Linked DNA regions of Xenopus tropicalis. The protein of the gene in region 2 purifies or fractionates together with the protein of the main gene of each other region. This does not show direct contact. Links are inferred from orthologs where the notes say so. Each region holds a gene or a part of one and is shown on either strand. Other genes may lie near its edges. The genes, in order: cbx1, champ1 and cbx3.

Region 1 (4,239 bases), on a different chromosome or scaffold from region 2:
ACCAGCAGCCACAGTATATAGATATCAGTTGGGATCAATAACGGGGAGCAAAAAAGTACAATGAGCAGACGCTGGTTAAAATCCCTCATATTCAGCTGTAAAAAAAAGTTATTAACCCATGAGTAAAGCCTTAGGCGTTTTGGGCTTCCCTCACACTCAATGGCAGGCTGAGTCACTTTTTAAGGCGAAATAAAAAACAAAAAAAATTAGCCAATCGGTGGATACAAGATTTCCTTGGGGGGGGGGGGGGGAGGAGTCTCAGTTTAACTTTTGATGTAAGTTGTCATAATGAACACTAATATTTGTGTTTACTTCCCCTTTTGTTTTTTTCCTGATCGGTTGGATATCAGGTTTCCAGATAAGAGACCCCATACCTGTAATATTTTACAGTAATACAGACGCGGCGTGCAGGTTTATGAACGCTCCCCTTACCGGTTCAATGTGCATTAGCAGCGCATAAGGACAAGAAACCATGGAGCAGCACTTACTCAGAGAAACCTTTCCATTTCAGGAGATACTCCACTTTCCCTTTCACCACCCGTCGGTCCAGGACCTTCTCCACCACGTACTCCTCCTCCTCCTCGTCGACAACCTCTTCCATCTTTTTCTTGTTCTGCTTCTTTCCCATGGAGGTCGCCAGTTTATCTGCTTAATGGAGCTGCATGGGAAGAAAGAGGAGAACTTGGTGACTTATAATATCCTTATGCTTTACATAAGGGGGTACATAATTCCCTATATGTGTATGTAGTTTGCATTACTGTGTGGGGTTACATGTTTGAATCCAGCCAGGGCACACATCCGCATGAAATATGTATGTTCTCCTTATATCTGCGTGGCTCTCCCACACTCCAAAACCATACAGGCAGGTTATTCGGCTTCTAATAAAAGCGACCCTAGTGCGTGTACCTTAGATTGTAAGCTCTACTGTCAGGGACTGATGGTAGTGATGAACCCCCAACACCCAGTCATAATTTTCAGCTGCCGGCAGGAAATAACAAAACCGAAATATACAAAATAAATAATAAAGGTCAAGCGAAAAGTTGTTCATAGGTCTATCTACAACACACTAAGAGTTCATGCAAACATCCCCTTTAATGGCCTGAGCCGATGTGTGAGAGATACGACACAGCTGCAGATGTCACAGACTGTCTCGGATTCACATAACTGATCCCTATTGCAGCGCCGAGACAGCGCAGATTAGACTGCAAGCTCTGGGAGACCCATAAAGGAGACGGTATAATGTAGCCTGGGACTACAGACAAGATTTTACTGAAGGCTCCGGCTTGACTCCTACAGCCCTGCTGTCCAGGCGGAGGGTCCCCAGGGCCAGATGTTTCCCTCCATGGGATTGTTATGGCCTCAGGATCTATTACAGCAGTGGTCCCCAACCTTTTTTGCACCACGGACCGGTTTCAAGCAAGACAATTTTTCCAAGGACCGGGGATGGGGGGGTGTGGCGCAACTAGTGCATACTATGCACGTTATTATTATTATTATTATTATTATTATTGCATACAGCTTAATAAAGTACTTTGGTCCTTGTCGTGATCAGTAGAAATCTTCCTGGGCTCCGCATAGCTATTGTCATGGCTGTGTAACGCATCAGGGAGTTGGGATCACGGGTAATTGGGACCAGAGGTGGCCCGGTTCAGCACAGCCCATGGACCGGTGGTTGGGGACCCCTGTATTACAGGGCTCCACAGACTATTCATTCAAAATAATCCAGACCCTAAACGTGCAATACATTTGGTAGCCATGCAGACACAGTGCACAGAATGAATAGGAGTAGCCTTGAGTGAAGCTGTGCCACGTGCCAGGCTGCCTGGCTTAGAGCTAACACTCCCCCCCCAGCCTGGCATTGCCCCCCCCCGCCTGGCTCTGTTACACACATGCTATATGCATTTCACCTCAGGAACTTGCTCCTTTGCCCCCATTCTGCAGCCTCTTCTATTTCTGCACTTTGCTACTGAGTGAGCGACTCCCCACACAATGTACAAAGCTAATTATGGCTCCCAAAGAATGAAAGCTCTGCAGCCAAATAATACCAGCTGTGTGGGAGTGTTTGCCCCTCACATTCCCCTGGCCGGAGGTTACATCACGTTGGCTACTGCAGCCCTGCGAGTGTGGGGCCCCACAGCCAACATTCCCTCTGCTTTTCTATGGGCCAGACGTGCAGAATTCAGGTTTTGTGGCCTGAGGTGCAATGTGCGCACACAGGGCCTTGGGTGCATCTGGGGGATAATATGCCAACCTTACCCCCTGGGGATAGGAGCCACCATGTGACTGGGCACTATGCATAAAGTTTGGGAAGAACATTGTACCAAGAGTGGGCCACTGACTACAACTCCCAGCATCCCCCACAAAACCCTGGGAAACAAAGCTACATCCATAGTGCAAACATGGACTTGTGAAATCCCTGTAACAAGTTATACCCTGTGCTGGGAATGCTGGGAAGTGTAGTTTTCAGAGCAGTTGGAATGCTACAGGTTGATGGAGGCAAATCACTAGTGAATTAAGTTGCAAGAACTTGTTTGTGTGCGAATAACAGAACGTTGCTGGCTGCATGTTACGCACTACAAATCCCAGCATGCTCAGCGGCCCGTTTCCCAGAGGAATGGGAGGGGGCAGTCCGGCAGTAGGGAGAGAAGGCGCACATGCGGGGATCAGGCCGCCCTTACCCGCCGCTTGCTTGGGCTCCCCGGTGCCTGGGGCCTGGGATCGGTCCGGCTGCGCGGCTGGAGCTCGCTTTCTTCTCGGCTATTGGAGCGGGTTCCGATCCCCTGAATGAACAGAACAAATTGATTCCTGTGCGTCCCGATCCGGTTCGGTTCTAAGGATGTGGCGCCTCCAAACAAAAGAAGCAGCGCTGCCGCCAAGGGATCGGGGGAGTGCGCATGCGCGGGGGGAGAGCCGCCTAGCATGGCGGGAAGTGTAGTTCTTTCCCTGGGAGCCATGTACGGGCCGAGTGGGCAGTGTTTAATGAGCTTATCTGTTGCTGGCTGTGTGGGGCCATGATAGTGGCTAGTAGGCGTGAAGGCTGCTGGCTGTGTGGGGCCATGTTAGTGGCTAGTAGGCGTGAAGGCTGCTGGCTGTGTGGGGCCATGTTAGTGGCTAGTAGGCGTGAAGGCTGCTGGCTGTGTGGGGCCATGTTAGTGGCTAGTAGGCGTGAAGGCTGCTGCCTGGTCCGGCACAGATTTAGCCCCTCAGTGTGGAGCCCGGGAATCACTTCACTGTTTTTATAGTCGCTGCACAGTTAAAGCTGGAATGGGAAGGGGTCGGTAGGTATGGCACTGGGGTGAGAGACTGGGGGGGTGGGCAGGTATGGCACTGGGGTGAGAGACTGGGGGGGTGGGCAGGTATGGCACTGGGGTGAGAGACTGGGGGGGTGGGCAGGTATGGCACTGGGGTGAGAGACTGGGGGGGTGGGCAGGTATGGCACTGGGGTGAGAGACTGGGGGGGTGGGTAGGTATGGCACTGGGGTGAGAGACTGGGGGGGTGGGCAGGTATGGCACTGGGGTGAGAGACTGGGGGGGTGGGCAGGTATGGCACTGGAGTGTGAGACTGGGGGGTGGGTAGGTATGGCACTGGAGTGTGAGACTGGGGGGGGTGGGTAGGTATGGCACTGGGGGTGAGAGACTGGGGGGGTGGGTAGGTATGGCACTGGGGTGAGAGACTGGGGGGGGTGGGTAGGTATGGCACTGGAGTGTGAGACTGGGGGGTGGGTAGGTATGGCACTGGAGTGTGAGACTGGGGGGTGGGTAGGTATGGCACTGGGGTGAGAGACTGGGGGGGGGGTAGGTATGGTACTGGGGTGAGAGACTGGGGGGGGTGGGTAGGTATGGCACTGGAGTGTGAGACTGGGGGGTGGGTAGGTATGGCACTGGAGTGTGAGACTGGGGGGTGGGCAGGTATGGCACTGGGGTGAGAGACTGGGGGGGGGGGTAGGTATGGTACTGGGGTGAGAGACTGGGGGGGTGGGCAGGTATGGCACTGGAGTGTGAGACTGGGGGGTGGGTAGGTATGGCACTGGAGTGTGAGACTGGGGGGGGTGGGTAGGTATGGCACTGGGGTGAGAGACTGGGGGGGTGGGTAGGTATGGCACTGGGGTGAGAGACTGGGGGGGGTGGGTAGGTATGGCACTGGAGTGTGAGACTGGGGGGTGGGTAGATATGGCACTGGGGTGAGAGACTGGGGGGGGGGGTAGGTATGGTACTGGGGTGAGAGACTGGGGGGGGTGG
Region 2 (4,013 bases):
ATAATTCATTACAATAAAAATAATCTCACATAAATACATAAACCTTGTATTAAAAAATATAAATAATTACAATACATAAAGTGAAAATCAGAAATTCAATTGAAAAGCTAAAATGGAGAAATGTGACTAAACCTATCAGTTCAATGGAGGATGAAATAGGAACAATATATTAATTCATATGAGGATAGGTTAAAAAAAACTAAACGTTGGCATTACTAAAAATACATATACATAAGATCAGTTGGTTAAAAGGTAGGCAAAAGAACTACCAAATGAATCAGATATACTGGATAAATCTGTAACAGACTGCTACACTAAGCACAGGAGGGGATGGATTACTACATAAATGCCCAGTCTATAATTAAGTGAAAAGTTGCGACTTCATAACTGCCTAATCGAAGGATACAGCAATAATATGGGGAAAAAAAGGCCCCAGTTGGGGAGCTCACTCCCAAACGGACACCCAATTAGGAAGGAAACTGTCCAATAAGATTATAAGGGCAAACACTCGTGTATGCACCCTAACATGTGGCGCTTGCAATGTGAGGTATCACCAAAGGCTACAATATAAGTACAGGCACCTCCTAGACCTTAACCTGGTGCTGAATAGATCCCCCACACCCTACAGGTGTTAGCTAGAATACCCTCTGTCCCGGCCGGGAACTTACTGTGGGTCTAAACACTGGGAGGATCGAGCTCCTTCACACGGCACAGCACGGATTCCCTTCTTTCGGTGACGTCACCGATGTGAGCCGAATGCTTAGCTACGGGTCCTCCCAGGTCTCAAGGTCCACACAAATTTATATATATCAATATATGGCGTGCACCAATGAAGTGGGGGGGGGTTACAAGAGAATGACTTGTTAATTAATGCTACTTGCATTAATTAACAGAGGGAATGGTGTACCCTCTGTTAAAAAAGTAAGGATATTAGAATTTGCCAAGGAGTTCCACAACCATATAGAGACAAGAGCCTGTGGACAAAAGGTATGGCGTATGTAATACACATCCCACATCACCAAAACTGATTCAAACTCATATCCTTAGGCACTGTTAGAAGTTTTTTTCAGATTATTTTACAGGCTGTTGTCTTTTATAAGCCTACTGTGTATAGTATTACAAGAAAACATTGTCAGAAAAAAATCACAATCATCATTAACGGGGGAAAATACCCTATTTCTATGTAGGGTTCCATTTTAATGTATTTGATCCATAAAACACTGTGCAAATAAATATGATGCCTTACTGTGTGCAATTTTATATGCCTTGTCTTCATATATATATATATATAAAAGTAACAATAGGGCTGCCAAATAAAATACCGCACCCCTGCCCCAACATGCAACCAAAACTATGCTTCCAGGGTTCCTCCTAAGTGACCAGCCCACAATGCATGTAGTCCAAGTACCATACCTGGGGGATACAGGATACAGAGCAAGTAAATTCACAGATTATCCCGCATGCCAGGACACTGCACTTTGCACGTGCACAGATAACTGCATGCCATACAGGAATTGTGGCTTTTTTGAGCATTTTTTCCTGATTTAATCTTACCTCCACTTTTCTAATGAAAACAAATCATCAGGTTATTATAAAAAACAAAGTACTTTACTATTGCATGAATTATACTGTAATGCACCTGTAAAGGTAGCCATACACGCACAGATAATATCATACGAAACCTCGTTTCGTACGATATTCGGTGCGTGTATGGTATGTTGGCGAGTCGACCGATATCGCAGGAAGCTGCTGATATCGGACGACTTGCCGATTGGACCAGTTTGAAAATTTTGATCAGGCGCCATAGAAGGCGCCTGACCAAAATCTCCCTTCAGCGCTGAATCGGCAGAAGGAGGTAGAAATCCTATTGTTTCTACCTCCTTACCTGCCGATTCAGCCCTGAATGGTGTGTGGCGGATCTGACGATGTTTCGTGCAACCGATGGTCAGATCGCCACGCCACTCTTTATTACATATAATATACATTTTTGTAATCGAGCTTTATTTGGAGTCTGTCACATGTTTTCAAACAATGAATAAATGGGATAATGTACTTGTATACACACTGTGTACAGTCCTTATGTTTTGAGAAAATAAAACTACTGTGTCACATGAGAATGACAATGGTTTGCATCTCTCGGCACTGAGGCACATGAGAATGGCAGGTAGGATCACCACAGAAGGGGACATCTCTATTACATTGAGATGCATTGCAGATACATTGCAAATCTGTACCAGGCCCTTATGGAGACGAAAAAACATTGCTAAAAAGGTAATCACTACTTTCCTGTCCTTTCTTTTACCCCATTTTACTAGTATTTTAGATTTTATGTCCCTATTTTCTGTGCTTAATTACAAACCAGTGTCTAAGGATGTAATTACTAATAGAAAACATCTCTCTAACCCAAGCAGCTAGGTTTTAGCCCGATAGAATCGCATTCCCACCCACCCAGTCCTGTGCAGCTCTACGGGGCTAAAACCTCCGTGACAAAAAGAGCATTACTGAAAGCTGTGTAAGGGAAAGAACATGCATGCATATTGCACTCTAAGCTCCTGCCCCTTACGGAGTCTGCAGCTCTCTAAGCGAAAGGGGTCAAACTAGCCCAAATAAGTGCAGACTGCCCAACACACACACCTATTTTCCTATAACAACAGTCCAAGATCGCTACTTACACCTACCACAAAGCTGGTAACTGCAAGCTCCTGGCCGCCTCTCTTGCGGAAAATCCCGACGCCAAATCCCGTCTCATCACGCGAGACTGGCATCACGACTTCACGTAAGCGCAGTGACGCATCACGTAGCCGCATTGCGCAAGTGACTAGCGGAGACTGCGTAACTTTGACACCGTGGTCGTACCGCCTTCTTTTGTTAGAAAACAAATAATAGAAAAACAAACTTTTGTTTCATGTTGGTTGTTCGCCATGCACTCCCAATATAGCCATTTATATTTTTGCTTAGAGTTACGCTTTTTGCTAGGGAACAAAAGAAATATATATATATATTTTATTTATTTCTGGTTGCCATCTGTACATGGTGCTGTCGGAGCCTCTTCTGTTAATTTGACAGAAAAAGAAAACTTTATTTTTGTGCAAACTGGGGGTGGTTGAAATGAAGTCACTTTTTTTAGTTTAATTATACTTTGATGGTTCCACACACACAATGGGCAGAATTTTCACAATTCAGGAACAAAACAACTTCAAGGCACGAATAAGAAACTGACCAAGTAAACCACCTTCAGTACCATGCTGGCCCAGTTTCCACTGTTTCAGGAATGACTTGGCCCACACTGGCTGTCGCCAAGTTACCTAGACATTGATATTTTGAGTTCTGCTCCAGTATTTAAAGACAAGGACAGTATTTTTCACAATTTGGGACAATGTATGGCCTTTAGGAGAGTCTAATGGGTACCTACAGTAATCTTTTTAGTCTTTTTTGTGGTGGTGTCAGGAGCTTCCAAGACATTTGTTTCCTGCCAGAAGTGCCTGCCGTCATCAGAGCCTTTTTACCAATTTGACCAAGAAGGAAAGAGTTTTTATGCAAACTAGAGTCAGATGAAATGATGAAATCTTAGGTAAAAAGACTCCTTTTGGCACATAGAGGTGAAGAGCCCCCAGTGGTTGTGCATTAATATGACACAGATCTTTATACTGAGGCCTTGGGGGTAACACATCTTCCTCAGGCGAATGATGGGAACAAGATTTCCATAAAGAAAGTTTAGTAAAATTGTTAACTGAGGGCCCAACAGCAACACATGTATAGGCCCAACACTCCTCAAGCAAATGCTGCAATTGCATACCTAAAATACCTGCTATCGTATAAATGGTGTGCAGGATAGGGCAATTATTAGGGCAGGGTAGAATAGATTTTTTACTTTAAAAATGTTAGTGTTACTTTTCCTTTAAGTGGCTCACTTTTGCAAGGGGATGGAAGATTTAAACTATGAGGTGAGACTGTCGAGGTTGAGGTTGTTTTCTCTGGAAAAGAGGCGCTTGCGAGGGGACATGATTACTCTG
Region 3 (4,185 bases), on a different chromosome or scaffold from region 2:
GGTACAATTGAGATTTCTTGCACAAAACAAAAGCAGATATTTTCATTTGGGTTCCCTTTCATTCAAAGTTCCCGTCCCTACAATCAAGGTCAAAACAAATCAGTTGCCCACTAAGATTCCTTGCCCAGCTGCAGCCTGTAAGACAGAGATAAGGAACAGCAGTAGAACGCAGATCTGTTTTGACCTTAATTATACAGCCAGGAAGTAGAATGCAACTTTGTTTTAGATTGTGCCAGTTTACTACAAGAAATCACAAGAATGTTTTTCTTAAATAAGATAGAAGTGCATTTGGCACAAGCCCTATTCACTGGGGTGCACTACCCCTTTAAGAGACATTTAGATATCAGAAACATATGTTACAAGACATGCATTATTAATACAGTAGTTATCAATATAAACCAATAATTGTATATGCAATTAGTACTCTCCATTTCAAACTTTCCTGTTAACATTAGTGTAAAATGGCACTTCAGACTGTTGGTCACATGAGAGAATTTCCAGCCTCCTGCTCCCTGATTACATACAGTACAAGTTCTTAGCACAGTACACACCGTGCCAGCACTGCCCACTGATAGCTGCTATGCTTGATCCTACCTAACCTAATAGAAACACTCCTCTTCTGTAAAGGAACAGCCCCTAATACTGTGAGCACCATTCCAAAGACAATATGCACCACTTTTTCACAGCCTTATCAAAATTATCCCAACACAAACTGTATTATGCTTACAATTAGGTGCTAGCTCCCTGCTATGTAGTAAGTTATAATGTTAAAGCACAAGGGTGCCAATAAGTTAGAAAATTATTTCTTTGGCCAACTATTCTCACAAAAAGTGCCAGACTTTACCCAAGGATTCCTAGCACAAACTTGCACATGTCCAGTTTAATAAAAATTTTCCAATGGTAGTATACCGTGCTTGTGCTAGTCTGTTTACACTAGGAATTCCAGGGAAAAGTGCAGTATTGTGGTATCACTGCTACTTAAAGAGCTCTAGGCTGGCACATTTTTATTCCAGAGATAAAAATAAAAACCTAACCTCTGTCAATTAGGTTTTCTTGAGATTTAATTTCACTGGAAACTATGGGGTATTATCCCAAACCTTAAGAGACTGGTTTTTCATTTGATTATTAGAACAGGTTCAGCACTCAAAAGGCAATTCATTGCTCCAGAAAAAGGACTAATCTAAACACCTCTAAGTGACTACCTGAAGATTCTGGCCTGTTTAGTGCAAAGAAGAATAAAACAATATAAATAATTAACACAGGGAAAAATGAAGTTCAATGAGACATTGGATAAGTGGAAAAACCCCTAATTTTGTAGGCACTTATGAATACTATATGGTGCTGGTGTCACTTCGGGCTAAAAATTAATCCTATCTGTAAAAAGGTCTCCTTTACTGGAGCTCCATGTAGATCCTATCAGTCTTCTGTGCTTCAAATGAAGGGCGGGAGTATCCTAACAGTTGAATTCACAAGCAAAGACATACTTCAGTTCCCTATTGGGTCCGCCTAGCGTAGGTTCCTATCCTACAGTGCAGTGTGCCAAGAGCCAGTGGTTCCCCTGCACATCCAGAGATTTCAGCCTGCAGGAAGTGGAACAGATGGGCGGGACTAGAGGGGTCTGTGTATAATGTTTCAATAAATCAGTCTGAAACAACTATTTTAAAGCACAATCCTTCTATATTTAAAGTATAATTCACTAGTACATTCTTAATTTGTTATGATAAGTCTCCTTTCAGCACACGCCCTTATCACTAAGCCAATCCTATAAACACGGGATACACTGTCCCTTGAAATGAGAAAGCGGTCTGCCGTGAGGCGAAATTCTGCCATACCAGAAACAAAGGCAGGAATTTTCTGCTGTGACTGCCGTGCGAGACTCCATAACCCCCCCGCCCCCCCATACAACATTAGCGTGAAAGCAGCTCTGCGCAACGTGCATCCAGATAAAGTTTTACGCCGCTTCACCTCCCAAGCCGGAAAGCAAAAGCATCCCCCACCCCCTCCAACACGCATGCGTACATGTGAATGAGCCGCAACATGATTGATTAACCGAATGTATTCCGGAGGGAGATGAGGAACACACATTCACGGAAACTAGAGATTAGACTGTCGCAGGGGAAACTGCATGGCACAGTTGGAAACCATTATAACCAGCGGCACCGAGCTTTCCCTATGATTGTCCAGCCCGGGTAGCCATTGCCCTGTATACCCTTTACTTTCCCTACTAACCACCTAGAGGCCACGAACCTTCGCGCCTGCGCACCCCCCGTACCGAACAGCATTAGCTTCATTGTAAAGAAACCCAGTGATACAGAGAAACTCAGGGGGTATCCATCCTAGCACTATGTGAGAGTTACTGTGCGCTGCACCGGGCATGGGAATACTGGCGGAATACCACTAACACTGCTAGCGTCATATAAGTGCTAGGGGGCCGCTCTTCATTCGGCAAGATATATACGTGAAATAGAAAGTTGTGACTTTTTCTGCCGTTGAACTACAGCTCCCAACAAGCCCAGGTAGCGGTGAGCAGCAATTGAAGACAAGGCAGTATGTTTGCAGAACGGCCTCCCCGCCCTTACACAATGCCTCCCACCCATTGGTCTGTGCTGCTACTCTGCAGCAGGCCTCCGCTTCTCTCCCAAACTAGCAGCAATTTTCCCGCCTCCCCAACCCTGCCGGGCCGTGCTTCTCCCATGCTGCTCCTCTCCCTCCTCATGCCCCCGGGTACAACATTCCTCTCTCTCATCCCCGTACCTCACTCTCTTTGGATAACCAGCACCCGGTGACTCCTGCTCCGTCCCCCTCACACCGAGAAACGCTCTCCAAGCCGCGGCTGCCTGCAGCTCCGATGTGCGCAGGAGTGGGAGGGCCCGAGTGACGCGCAGAACAATGGGCCCTACCAACACACTGGCGGGGAATTTACTGGCGCGAACAGTAACTCTTTCAATACCATGGGTCTAAGGGAAGCGGCACCCTGACAAAATAGGACAGCCTGCCTTGAGGGCAGTTAATGTCAATTCCGGTACAATCTACACGGGTGTAGTTGAAGAGCCCATGAAGTCAGGGTCTTAATGATAAAAGAAAACCCGAATTATATATTTAATAGTAGTGAGTCACGTGTTGAAAGGTAGGTCCCAGGCTCCGCCCGCCTCTGTCGCTCCTCGTGTAGGTGTCTGACTGATACATGTCGTTTTGTTTGCAAATAATAAAAAAAAAAAAAAAATGCTTGAAATATGTGGCATTGACACATATTTCACTTCACTAGGCCGCCATTTTCGTGTATTTTACGAAGGCACTCCCCTGTCTGTCCAGTGTATGCGTTTCATCATCTGGACGTTCTAGGTATACACTGGCAGCTGAGCAGTCACATCACCTACACAGAAAATATTTATGCTTACAAGTGCAGGGCAGTCTGCCAAGTGCAATTTCAGGCAAACTTTGCTGTAAATTAGATGCAATTGCGCTAAAAAAAATTCTGTCCATTTAATATGAGAGTGTCAGGAACCTATTCTCTAGATGCAAGTGCACTGCACCTATCCAGGGGTGTTTCTTGCCCCTGAGCCACCTGAGGAGGTTCCTACCATGCCTTTACAGCACGGGAGGGGGTCCAGGCATGCCACATCGCTAGTGTAGAGAGTGCCATGGCAATCTCTGCTATAGTGCAGCAAAATTTCCCTTTTAAAAACCAGAAATTTGGCTCCTAAAGTTGTCAGGAGCGGCTATTTGCCTCCCCTGGTAACTTCGGGGGTGCTGCTGCCTGAGGCGAGTTTTTAAACTCGCTTCACAGTAACTGTGCCCCTGCACCTATCGCCTCAGACGGCAGAGCCTGGCAAGTTACCAGGGGCAGCAAAAGTCACTCCTGGTAACTTAAAGGAGAAGGAAAGGCAAAGTCACTTGGGGGTGCCAAAATGTTGGGCACCCCCAAGTTACTTAAATCGCCTACCTTTTATCCCTGACTGGTGCCACTGTTCGGAGAGAACAGCACCAGCCCGAGGTAGATGCAGCGCTTCCTCCTTACATCTTCGCATGCGCAGTAGAGTGAAAAGCCGAACTTTAACAGAGAAGTCGCTTTTTCACTCTACTGAGCATGCGCCTGTCATGTAGTACTTGCAAAACGAAACCGGAAGGAGGAAACGCTCACTACAGGTACCCTTGGCCGTTGCTCTTTTCTACTAACAGGGCCAC

Evidence for each region.
Region 1: the proteins of champ1 (region 2) and cbx1 purify together in Homo sapiens (affinity purification with mass spectrometry; 6 studies listed by BioGRID and IntAct, with this or other methods). This does not show direct contact. The link is inferred for Xenopus tropicalis from reciprocal best matches to the Homo sapiens genes CHAMP1 and CBX1.
Region 3: the proteins of champ1 (region 2) and cbx3 purify together in Homo sapiens (affinity purification with mass spectrometry; 6 studies listed by BioGRID and IntAct, with this or other methods). This does not show direct contact. The link is inferred for Xenopus tropicalis from reciprocal best matches to the Homo sapiens genes CHAMP1 and CBX3.

Annotation. Positions count from the first base shown.
Region 1 is NC_030686.2:11,721,929-11,726,167, forward strand, and holds the start of cbx1 (chromobox protein homolog 1), read right to left. Parts: upstream 2,801-4,239; 5' UTR 2,679-2,800; intron 659-2,678; 5' UTR 629-658; coding exon 489-628; intron 1-488. UniProt on the Homo sapiens protein: Component of heterochromatin. Recognizes and binds histone H3 tails methylated at 'Lys-9', leading to epigenetic repression. Interaction with lamin B receptor (LBR) can contribute to the association of the heterochromatin with the inner nuclear membrane.
Region 2 is NC_030678.2:111,848,016-111,852,028, reverse strand, and holds the start of champ1 (chromosome alignment-maintaining phosphoprotein 1), read right to left. Parts: upstream 2,802-4,013; 5' UTR 2,673-2,801; intron 1-2,672. UniProt on the Homo sapiens protein: Required for proper alignment of chromosomes at metaphase and their accurate segregation during mitosis. Involved in the maintenance of spindle microtubules attachment to the kinetochore during sister chromatid biorientation.
Region 3 is NC_030682.2:41,663,378-41,667,562, reverse strand, and holds the start of cbx3 (chromobox protein homolog 3), read right to left. Parts: upstream 2,801-4,185; 5' UTR 2,755-2,800; intron 1,907-2,754; exon of another isoform or gene 1,883-1,906; coding exon of another isoform or gene 1,833-1,882; intron 1-1,832.